Linked DNA regions of Rattus norvegicus. The protein of the gene in region 1 interacts with the protein of each later gene in a biochemical or structural test. Links are inferred from orthologs where the notes say so. Each region holds a gene or a part of one and is shown on either strand. Other genes may lie near its edges.

The links.
Region 2: the proteins of Anxa7 (region 1) and Sri interact in a biophysical measurement, tested with the Homo sapiens proteins (2 studies listed by BioGRID and IntAct, with this or other methods). The link is inferred for Rattus norvegicus from reciprocal best matches to the Homo sapiens genes ANXA7 and SRI.

What each region holds. Positions count from the first base shown.
Region 1 is NC_086033.1:3,887,518-3,892,870, reverse strand, and holds part of Anxa7 (annexin A7), read right to left. Parts: intron 2,067-5,353; coding exon 1,953-2,066; intron 1,771-1,952; coding exon 1,600-1,770; intron 1-1,599. UniProt on the Homo sapiens protein: Calcium/phospholipid-binding protein which promotes membrane fusion and is involved in exocytosis.
Region 2 is NC_086022.1:26,938,902-26,944,765, forward strand, and holds the start of Sri (sorcin), read right to left. Parts: upstream 3,742-5,864; coding exon 3,691-3,741; intron 2,829-3,690; coding exon 2,745-2,828; intron 1,042-2,744; coding exon 972-1,041; intron 461-971; coding exon of another isoform or gene 375-460; exon of another isoform or gene 210-374; intron 1-209. UniProt on the Homo sapiens protein: Calcium-binding protein that modulates excitation-contraction coupling in the heart. Contributes to calcium homeostasis in the heart sarcoplasmic reticulum. Modulates the activity of RYR2 calcium channels.

The sequences.
Region 1 (5,353 bases):
TCTGGAGAAGCACTTGGCACGAGGAAGGGTACAGTCGTAGTTCAAAGGGGTAACAGGACATAACACAGAAAAACGTATTCCAAAGTGGGCTGAAGCCCAGACACCAGGCCTGCAACCTCTAGCATTTTTGCAAATGCAAATAATAAATGTATTTTAAATGTGTTCAGGGAAGGAACTTCAAATAATTCCTTGGGCTTAAGTACATAATATAGTCCCCATTTTCTTAGAAGTGACTTCTCTCTTTTCCTTCCCACCCTAGAAAGGTCCGGATGGGTCACGGACGCTGCATAAAGACAAGCCAACTGAGACTCATGCTTTGCATTCAACAGCTCTCTCTGCTGTGTCCTCCCCTCTTGCCAAACCTGACCTCCTCTTCTGCTTTGGTGTTCAAGGCAAATTCAGTTCTCTCCAGCATTTTCCTCTTCTCACTTTTGTAGCTCCCACCGTTGCACACTATCCCAGACCCACTGTATATCTTGAACACTTTCTGTAACTCTCTTTCCATGTCTCCTCAGAGCCCCTCCTCCACTTTTAGATCCCTTGAGATCCTGTCGTGTTGTTCACAAGCAGGCAGCCTGTAACTCCCGATACTTACCAGTGTGTTAGTCTTTTGTGTGTCTGTCAAACACATCAACCTTCCCTTCCTGTTTTTTTTTTTTTCTTTTTCTTTTTTTTTTCCGGAGCTGGGGACCGAACCCAGGGCCTTGCACTTGCTAGGCAAGCGCTCTACCACTGAGCTAAATCCCCAACCCCCGCTTCCTGTTTTTAATACTATTCTACATACGCTCTTGGAGTGTTTCCTGTCCCCTCTCTGCATACCTGGGGAATAATAAGGCAGATGCCAACTGCAGAGAGAATGTCTTGTGTACTGTGTAGAAGCATCACCTGTCAATCAAATGCTGATGGCCTATGAGCAAAAGGCAGGGCTAACAAGGGGGCGGGGCTTACAGGGGGTGCGGGGTGGGGGTGAGGGAGGGAGTGCTGGTAGAGATAGGAACTCTGAGGAGACAGACAGGTGAGGGAAAAGATTTGCCACCCGGACTCTGAGGAGACAGACATATGAAACTGAGGAGAGGTAAGCAGCCACGTGGCGGACATAGAATAGTTTAATGGCTTATATAAGTTATGAGCTAGTTGGGGAACAGGCGCAAGGTTACAGCCTACACATTTACTCGTAAATAGTTAAGCCTTCATTATTCGGGAACTGGGGTGCACGTGGGAAAGCTCGCAGTTACGCCAACTGCAGTACTCTCCTGTGCTCCTACCTCTGCTCCTCTGCCTTGGACACCCGCTGGCACTTTCACTGTGGCCCACATTACCTGACATGACACTGCAAAGCTGTCATGGATCTCACCTTCATCTCCACCACAGAGCCTCGGGAAGGTTCTGACTTCATGAAATCTAAGAGAAGTTATTTCCTCTTCCTTACAGAACTCAGTCTCAGTAGTAACTAGAAGCAATCTGCCCACTGCATTCTGTGTTGTTCCACAAAGATGGCAATAATCCAAGGGGCTAACACTAATAAAGAATGTTCCCTGGCGACAGGTACAAATGATGTCCCTTCACTAACGAACAGTCATTAACACTGACTTTACTCACCTGGCACATGGACACGAGGAGCCGTTCGAAATGTCCTGAGGTATCCGATCTAATGTCCCTCTCGAGCTCGCGTCCAAATTCTAATTGATAGCATCTAACAATGTCTCGGATTTCTTGATTTGTTCTTGTGCACAAAATCTCTATCAACACACGCTCTTGAGTTCCTGCTCCCTACATGAAATGAGGAGAGCAGGATTACACAGAAGCAAAGGGAGTTCTCTGACGACACCTCAGCTGTAGTTCAGACGATACAAAACAATTTTGTCTCATCCATCTGCACATGGGAACTATCAGAGCGTGTGAGGTACAGATACGAGCAATACGGACTAACCGCAGAAAATAAGACAGCATACCTGTATCGCCTTCCGCAAACTCCAGGCATCATAGTATGTAGGAGGCATGAACAGGGCAAGGATTAATTCTTCCATGTTTCCACTCAACTCTGACTTGAGATCTTTAATTAAATCCTGTTTAATGACATATGAGAAGCTTACAGGATTTCTGTATCTTATTTCACATAAATCGCTTACAAAAAATAATTTTAAAAGCTGTTTATGTGTACGGATATTTTGTCTATCTGTATGTCTATGTACACATGCCTGAAATGACAGTGCAGGCCAGAAGAGGGCACAGAAGGCCCCCGGAGGTGGAGTTACAAAGGGTAGTGAGCTGCTATGTGGGTGCAGGGAACAGAACCCGAGTCCTCTGGAAGAGCAGCCAGCGCTCTTAACCACTGGGCCACCTCCTCAACCCCTCACTTGAGTCTTTTTAGGAAAATATGCAAAAACTAAGTAGAACTGGCACTATGAAAGTTGAAATTTCAAATCTGAATGTGAAATACAAAAGAACGAGGAAATCTATTAAATTCAGTGGTGAATTCCTTGTGTCTGTAAACACTTGAACCCCTGCTGCAGAGTTCTTCTACTGTACCACACACAAAGGCACAAGGGCCGGCTAGAAAAAGAATAGGTCAAAATAACGAAATGAGGGCTGGTGAGATGCTAAGTGGGTAAGAGATACTTGCCAATGGGTTCAACCCCTGGGGTTCACATGGGGCAAGAAGAGAACTAACTCCTGACTTCCATACACATAGGATGACAAGCACACACTCATAGATAGCCACCCGCCCAAAACTAAATAAATGGATGTAAAAATACAAAATAAGCAGGTATTTACTTAGTATAAGAAACTACTTTTGGCTCTAGAAAGAAGTAGAAATCACTGTCATCTTGGTCTCACTGAGACCGCAAACATCTGAAGAGATAACACAAAGCAAACCGCACCCTAGCGCTACCTGGCTTTGTCTTGTGCGCTGTGTGTTCAGAAGCTGAGCTCTGTGCCCCTGTCCAGACGGCAGCCTAATCTTGGTGTACTGTACTAATCAATGTGCTGTAAAGCGTGCTCCCCAATGATCCCTCATTGGTTAATAAAAGGCTAGACCCCATGACTGGGCAGAGGACAGGAAGACTTGAGATCAAATTGGGGGTGGGGTGGGGGGGAGCGAAAGGATGAAGGAGAGGGAGGGAGAATGAGGAGAGGAGGAAAAAAGAGGTTACTATGAGGCAGGACAGACCATGAGCATGTCGCCAAAGAAGGTCGCAATGAGGTCACTCATGAAACAGCAAGACGCAGTTGTCAAGTAATGGGGCATTTATCTGGTTATTAATAGACTAGCTGGGTTTTAATAGTTTCAGAACCTGTTATAGCTTGTTAATAAGGTGATGTTTCTGTGTTGTTTGCTCAAAAGCTAATTGGGAAAGAGTGGGAAGAAAACCCCCAACAAAAGAACCTCGATATAGCCCTGAGGTGCTCTGAATGAGGATGGCCCAGAGGCTCACTGTATAATTGCATGCTCCATCTCAGGTGGCAGAAGGTTTGCAAAGAGTTAGTATATGAGGCCGTGTGCGTGTGGGAGGTGCTGTGGCACTGGGGGTGGGCTCTGACGTTGCAAAAGCCCACACCAGGCCTAGTGTTGCTTTCTTTCTGTCTCTGGCTTTCAGATAAGCTGTGAGCTCTCAGCCACTGCTCCAGCGCCAGGCCTACCTGCCTGCCATGTTCCCTGCCACGATAGTCACAGACTAACTCTCTGAAACCGTAGAACCTGAGTCCCCTGGAAACTCTTCCATAAGTTGCCTCGGCCTTGGTTATCTCCTCACAGCAACAACAAAGTAACTAAGACAAGTGTCGAATAGGTAACACAGAAACAAAAGCCAGGTGACTTCCAAAGTGGGCTAGGAAGCTCAAAGAAAGCTTTTAGTTCCTACCTTAAAGAGTGTAAGAAAACGAACAGGCAAAGAGAAGGAGACAGTTACTTAAGACAAGGTAGATGGGCTACACACCAAGAACAGAGGAGGCTCTCAGCAGTGCAATTATCTATAGTAGTTTTGTGTATGAAGTAGGGTCTCACTGTGTAGACAGGCTAACCCAGAACTCCTTGCTCTCTCCATCTCAGCCACTTGTGCTAGAACCATAAGTGTGCACTGCCACACCCAGCTCTTTAGAAGAAGAATCTCTTGGTTTTTAATCAGTGAAGAAACAGGGCCGAGTATGTGTCTGGCTACATTTTTTGGCATCTTGGTAGGTGGCAGGGGATATCTGGAAAGAGGAGCCTCAATTGAGACAACGCCTCCATCACACTGGCCTGGAGCTGAGTCTGGAAGGCGTACCCTTGATGCACCATTGAATGACCGACGGACGATGGCTTGCAGTCCTGGGCTGTGCATGAGGGCAAAGCAGGCAAGCTGTGGGGAGCAGGCCAGTAAGCAGCACTCCTCCATGGTCTCTATTCAGTTCCAGCCCTGCCTGCCTTCCCACAGGAAGGGGAGAACCCATTCCGGCAAGACTTAGCCATGTGCAATGTGGCTTGAACATATCCACATGCATCCATGCATCCATGCATCCATGCATCCATCCATACACACAAAGGAAGAATAAACAAATGAAGAAAAAAAGACAGCCTGGCAAGGGTATTCAGTACACAACCAAAATATACATGCACACAATAAATACAATGTATTACTACTACTACTACTACTACTACTACTACTACTACTACTACTACTACTACTATTACTACTACTGTTACTACTACTATTGCTACTGACGATGATGATGGTAGTGATGATGGTGATGTGGTGGTGATGTGGTGATGATGGTGGTGATGATGGTGGTGATGGTGATGATGAAATAAAGTGTGTCTGAACCGGGCAGAGGAAGACAGGCTGGACAAGCTGATGGACCACTTGCCTATTCTGAAGACAGTAATCAGGCTGCAGCAGATGATGTTTGGAAAGTTTAGGATTTGTGTGTAAATGAAAAAGCAGTGCTAGCCACTTCTCCCCATTATATACCTGAGGAACAATGGCATTTTTTTGCCATGAACTTTGCTACACTTGGTCATCGATTCGACAAACACTCACTAAGGAACCACTCATTACACACCCGCGGCGGAACATGAAGAGGACAACACGACATGGGTTTTGCGAAGGAAGCGCACAGGTTCTGAGAGTCGGTGGTGAGGCCAACAGTAGCACAGATTTTAAAGAATCATGGTTGGACCTCGGTGGAAGGACCAGCCAGTGCTGTCCCATTTAATGAAGGACACACGGCAGCTGATATTCGAAGCCAGATCTTGAAAAAGTTGTTTACCGTGCAAGCAGAGAGGAGAAGAGTAATAGCCCGGGAGTACAGCATGTGCTAACACAGAAGTATAAAAGACCAGTTCCACATAATTATACCCCAAGACACGCTCGGA
Region 2 (5,864 bases), on another chromosome or scaffold:
ATGGTCCTTGTGTTTCAGGAAGTGGGCTCGTAGGACCAAGTTACATGACAGGAATTTCAAGAGCTCTTCCTTCTTGAACTGATTTCCCAACTAGCTGAGAGCTACAGTGCCAGTCCTCAGGTGTGAGCTCTGAGCAGTTTAACTTACCGCTTGCTATAAAGTGGAGGGGCCCATCTGATGTTCTGACTTCGTTAACAAGTGCAAAGAAGTTAGAAGGTGGCCCAGTCGGGCCAAGACAGTATTTATTATTTACCCCAGACACTTCTCGTGGTCAAGATTAGATTTAAAACAAAATGAAACAAACCAAACCAACCAACCAGCCCAGGGCACGTGGGATAATAAGCCTCAGCCAGGATTCAACACCTTTGCAACGTTTACTTTCCGATTTGCTTCCCGGAGCACAGTTCTGAGAAGTCAGGGCAGTAGGCTGTGGGATGAACAGTGGGGCAGTGCATACTGTCTGTAAAGGACAGAGGAGGGAGCAGAAGGCTGGCATGGAGCGAAAGCAGGAAGGGGACTCTGTCCTCAGCATGAACACATCTTCTCAGGTGACAGAAAGAATGACCTAGGCGACGTCATGGCCGGCAAGTGTTTGTATTACCAGGTAAGCCCAGGGCCCAGAGATCAGACAGCCAGACTGGCCACTCTCTCAGTGCCACCAGAGTTAGGATAGAGCAAGCACTTGGCAAAGTCACTGGTGCCTGTTAGCACTTAGCATTAATGATACCTGACCTGGTGGATTCCATTTCAGCACCCTAACTTGTCCTCCGTGTGGGAGGCTGCCCAAATCGTCTCACTGGTTTGAATGGTCCCGGAATACAGGGAACCTGCTAGGAACTATGCTCTATGAACCTTTTAAAATAATAGCTCGATGGATGAGAAAAGTCTGATTTCTTTAAAGGAACAATTGCCGTCCGCCGCCGCCGAGGTACAGAGAACAAGAATACCGTTAGAAAGATCCCAAGGCTTACGTTTGTATCCTCCCGCTATGCCAGACTGAGTTAGGCATCGCTGCAACTCGTCAGCATCAATTTGTCCGTCCTTTAAAAAAGAAACAAAAACCGAGAGAGGAAATCAGAGCAGTGATTTGCATTTTCAAGTCCCTAAGCAGCACTGACAGGAGAAAGTAGTTAGTTATATGTAGCATTTCTTTAGAGGAACCCCTTTCAAAATTCTCCCTACCCTAATTCCAAAAATAATCCAATGGTGAGAGAATATTTGCCATGGCAAACAGCCCGCACCCAGTTTGACCCAAGAAGCTATCAACATCAACCACTTTAAAATTATTTCACAGAGTTGTTTAAAACCATAGCCCTCCAACCCCCTTTTTAAAAGAGTGGGGAAGTAGGGTCTATCATAGACTTTTAAGCATCAGGAAATACAAGGTCAGGTCCAAGGAGAAAGAGGCCCTTGGGTCAACTTGACTCGGGAGACAGGGTTTTCCGAGCACAATTATATAGATACCAATACCTACTGACTGAGGTCAGAATAAGACACACAACACTTCTAGGGATTTTAAATAAAATATATAAATCCGAGTTGGTGAGAGCCATCGCGTTATAAATAGGGACGGGATCAATAATTTGCAAGAAGATGAATGTGTGAAATAGAGGCCAGTGCTACTGAAAGCCAAGCAGGTGGAGTTGCTTACATGCTTGAAGACACTGGCAATCTAAGAATGCTTGCCTTGAGGTGTGCTTTCGTCTTGTGGTTTCAAAGACACGGATCAATAACGGATTAAGTAGACACTCGAGAGGAAAGTTTCCCAGTCTTCGACTCAATTTTCCATTCAAATTCTCAAAGTCGGGTTTCTTAGAGCACCACCTCATCCGAGGCGGCTGGAAGATTTTGCTTAGCATATTCTAGAGCACTTTTTGTTTGTTTATGTTTGGTTGGTTTTTTAAAATCACGATCTCATTCTTTCGGACTCTTGTTTAAAACAAGTCTAAGGTGAATAAGTAGGAAGGTCCTCTCTGGACACATCTGGATTATATCCCTGAATATTTACCAAACACAGTGACCTTGCAAGGCAGGCACGTGTCCTTCCCCACAGTAGCCATAGGCATCTGTCATAAAACTCTCTGAGTGAGGAAGTGGGCCTTAGGACTCGCTGACCTGCATTCCTTCTGTGGGTCATCCAGCCACAACACCTAAAAAGGGCATAGAAAGCTAGCCTCACAGGAGCATCTGCACCTAGGGTAGAGGCCACCTTCCTAATAGTGACAGTCACTCTTGTGCTTGGAAGCTCTTTTACAGAACTTCTCTACCTCCTTTGTGGGTAAACGATTAATTATCGGATTCAACTGAAAGTAGCTATCAGTCGTAATGGAGCTATAGAATCATTAATCACCGATATGTGCTTTTAGGTTGGGCAAGCCACAGTTTTATGTTCAGATTTTGAACTTCTTTTCTGTAAGCAGCCCTTGCTCTGCCCTGATAATTCAGTCCTAAAGGCACCTTTAAACTTTGTAGATCTTCGAAGTATTTTCATAATCCCCCTTCGGGTCAATCGAACCCCAGTTTAATCACAAGTTTAGTTTTAATCCGATCTGTTATCAATACACACAACAAACACTCTGTCCTGCTTTGTTCAGATCTAAAACAATGCTTTCATTTCCTTCTCCTCTTTCTTTTTTTTCAGGCAAAGGGACTCACTTCCAGGGCAAAGATAGTTTTGTGCCCCTGCAAGAAATGCTAACACAAGCAGAATATAACAATTCCTCAATAACAAAAGAAAGGCTAACCTGTCCAGCCACAGCAGCAAAGTAACCATAGAGCGGGTCCTGAGTGTGTCCAGGGAACACAGGCCCCCCAGGAGCCCCTCCACACTGTGAAAAAGAAACATAAAGGCATCAGACACAGAATTGAGTCTACTCTTTCACCATGCAAGGCTTTTGTACAATTGACACCGTGTGGCCTTCACAGCCTCTAATTCCCCACCGCCACACCACACCACACTCCGGCTCAGTGACCCACCAGGCTTTTCCACTCCTGCTCCTTTGACATTAAAAGCTGGAGACTTGGTCCAAAATAAATCTCCATGAAGGTGATGCCATTATATGGGAAGCCACTTTAAAATCCCTATTAACTAGCTTAGGCTCGGGATTGTGTTCCTGATGGTTTATTACAGCTTTAGTAGTGTTTTAAAAGTACTTGAAGTACTAGGTAAGGCTGGAGTTAGTACAGGGCTGACAGGTGTGGCTTGGGAAGAAGGATGGTCCGTTTGTATCTAAGATGAGGGTGCTTCAGTCTCTGACAGTACATCTCCAACATCTGGCGAAGTGGTCTTCCTCTAGGACTTCAGCTTATTTCTCCAGTCTTTCTGGCCGACCTGTCACTTTCTTTTCCAGGGAGTGACCACAGAACCATTCTAGATCAAGATGGCTGTTGTTGCTTGGGGACATTCCGAGAGAGAGCAGGAAGTCAACACCCAGTTTGCACTATCTCACGCCACATAACCGACTCACAGAGTAGGCTTCCCGGGTCGCAGCCCACCCACCTGTGGGCCCGGGAAAGGCACAAGGAAAAGATGGGGAAGAAATATGGAGTGGGGCCAAGGCTGGACATCAGGGTCCAGGCGAACTCCCAGGGAGCGTCTGGGACCGCCCGCGGCGCCTCCTCCCGCGCGTCCGTGGCGCCCTCCAGTCCCTGGAGCCGAGAGGCTGCTGTGCCCTCACCCGCTGCACTTACCCCGCCTGGGTAGTACCCTCCGCCAGCGCCAGGGTGCCCGGGATACGACATGGTGCAGACTGCGCCTCCGCCCTGTGTGGTTGCTGCTCGGCCCGTCGGCCCAGAGCCGCCCCGGAGCGCACCACCAGGCCCCGTGGGGGACGCCGCCCGCCTTCCGCCGCCCGCCGCCATCCACCCTGATCGCCCTGCTCCACCCGGAGTGCCGCCCGCACCCTGATGCCTCCGTGCAGTGTTAGCACAGCGTGCGACCCATGGCCAGACGATGACCCAGGACCCCAAACGAGTTTATAGCAGGACCTAATCTCCCTCTCCGTCTAGTGGCACATTCCGACATCCAGGCACCGCTAGGGGATTTTCTTCTTCCTCCTACTGTGCTATTTTGTGGAACATTTATTTACTATTTACACCAAGTTATTGGATAGGGAGGATGGGATAAGGACGATGTGCACAGTTGTAGGAATGGGAAGAACAACTCCAGTGGGTGAAGGGGACACTTTGCAAAATAGGAAAGAACCTTTGATAGCCAGGTGAAACTTGACCTTGCAAGAGAGCTTTTTGCTTTGAATGACGGTGGCCTGTTTCTTTGCCAACTGTTAAGCTGGGTGCAGCTCAGGTGTGATTGCTAGGCGTGGATGTGTGCGGTGGGGTAGAAGAGGGCATTTTCTAGGCAGGAGAGCCTCACCCAGATCATTCGTGGAATATTGAATTGTTTAATTTTCTGGATGTTTCAAATAGAAACATCCGTGATGGTGAACCTTACTGAAAAGGATGTGTAACTCACTTGGGTTGTTCAGAAGATGGTTCAGTTTCTTTTTCGGCTTTCAGCGCAATTTTCAAGAGATAATTGTTTGCTTGCCCTTGACTGTAAAGGACTGAACTGTTTTTTGTTTATTTGTTTGTTTGATTGATTGATTGATTGTTTTTGATTGTTTGCTCTTACTCTTTTCTTTTGAGGCCCGGGTTCTCAGGCTATTCTCTCATGGCCTCAGCCTCCAGATGAGTCACTGTGGCTGCCTGGTTTTTTGTTTTGTTTTGTTTTTAACATTTTGAGAAATACTTTAATAAACAAAACTGATCACAGTGTGAGACCTTAACTTCTCTCAAGTTCTCTTTGGGTACATAAACTCCAAAAACATGAAAGTTATGAATACTGAGAAAAATTCTAAATAGTCCTTATGATCACATGACAAAGGTGTGGCTTGGATTATGTCTGCCTCCGGAGATAAAATTACTGTTTTCAAATACCATGGTCATTGATTAGGCATTTTGAGGTCTTGTCCTGCATTGTGGAACTTTTTAACCAGCTAGATGATCAGCACTGAACTCACACTTGAATTTAAGCTCTTTCAGGACTCATGTTTAAAAGAACACAAAAAAATATGTGTCCCTGATAAAGTGTTGGTAACTAATGCAGGATTCATTTGTCTGGTAAGTGACTATGCTAATTGTTACATTAATAGTCATTAGGCTCTGGTCACTCCTTCTCCCTTAACAAGCGAATTTTAATGGAGGGCTGTAAATGAAATCTTTACAGTGATTGCCGGCAAATTAGTATGCCCTTGCTGTTTCAGGTTCAGGAAAAAAATATGTGGCAACTAATAGTTACAACAAAGATAAATGTGTGTGCATGCGTGCGCGCGCGTGTGTGTGTGTGTGTGTGTGTGTGTGTGTGTGTGTGTGTGGCACACACAAAGTAATTAATGAGTGTCAGATGTCAGACCTTCAAAACACTTTACCTGTTTGTGTAGTCCTTATAAAGTTCTTTGAGATAGGTGCTTTTATTATGAAATTCAGAAACAAGAGCTGAGGGACAGCAAGGAAAGGAGAATATGAGTTCAAAGCTGGGCTATGGCACTAGGTACTCTAGCTCTGCCCCTGGGGTTAGGGGTGGGGAGAAAATGTCCAGAAAGTAGATATTTTCCATCCCATGCTCCCTGTAGTGGCATCTTGGCTCTCATAGCCTGGCACTATCTGAGGACAGAACATATGTCAAAAGTGTGGCTGTTTTCCAGAACAACTTTATTCATTGAATCTAATAGAGTTGTTGAATGTCAGGATAACTATTTCCTTCCTGTCTTTTAAAGACAGGAAGAAATATCATTCCCAGCTCTCAGATGTACTCCAACAGAGGCGGCCAGATGTGACCCTCGGGCAGAAGTTCGTAAGCCATGGCA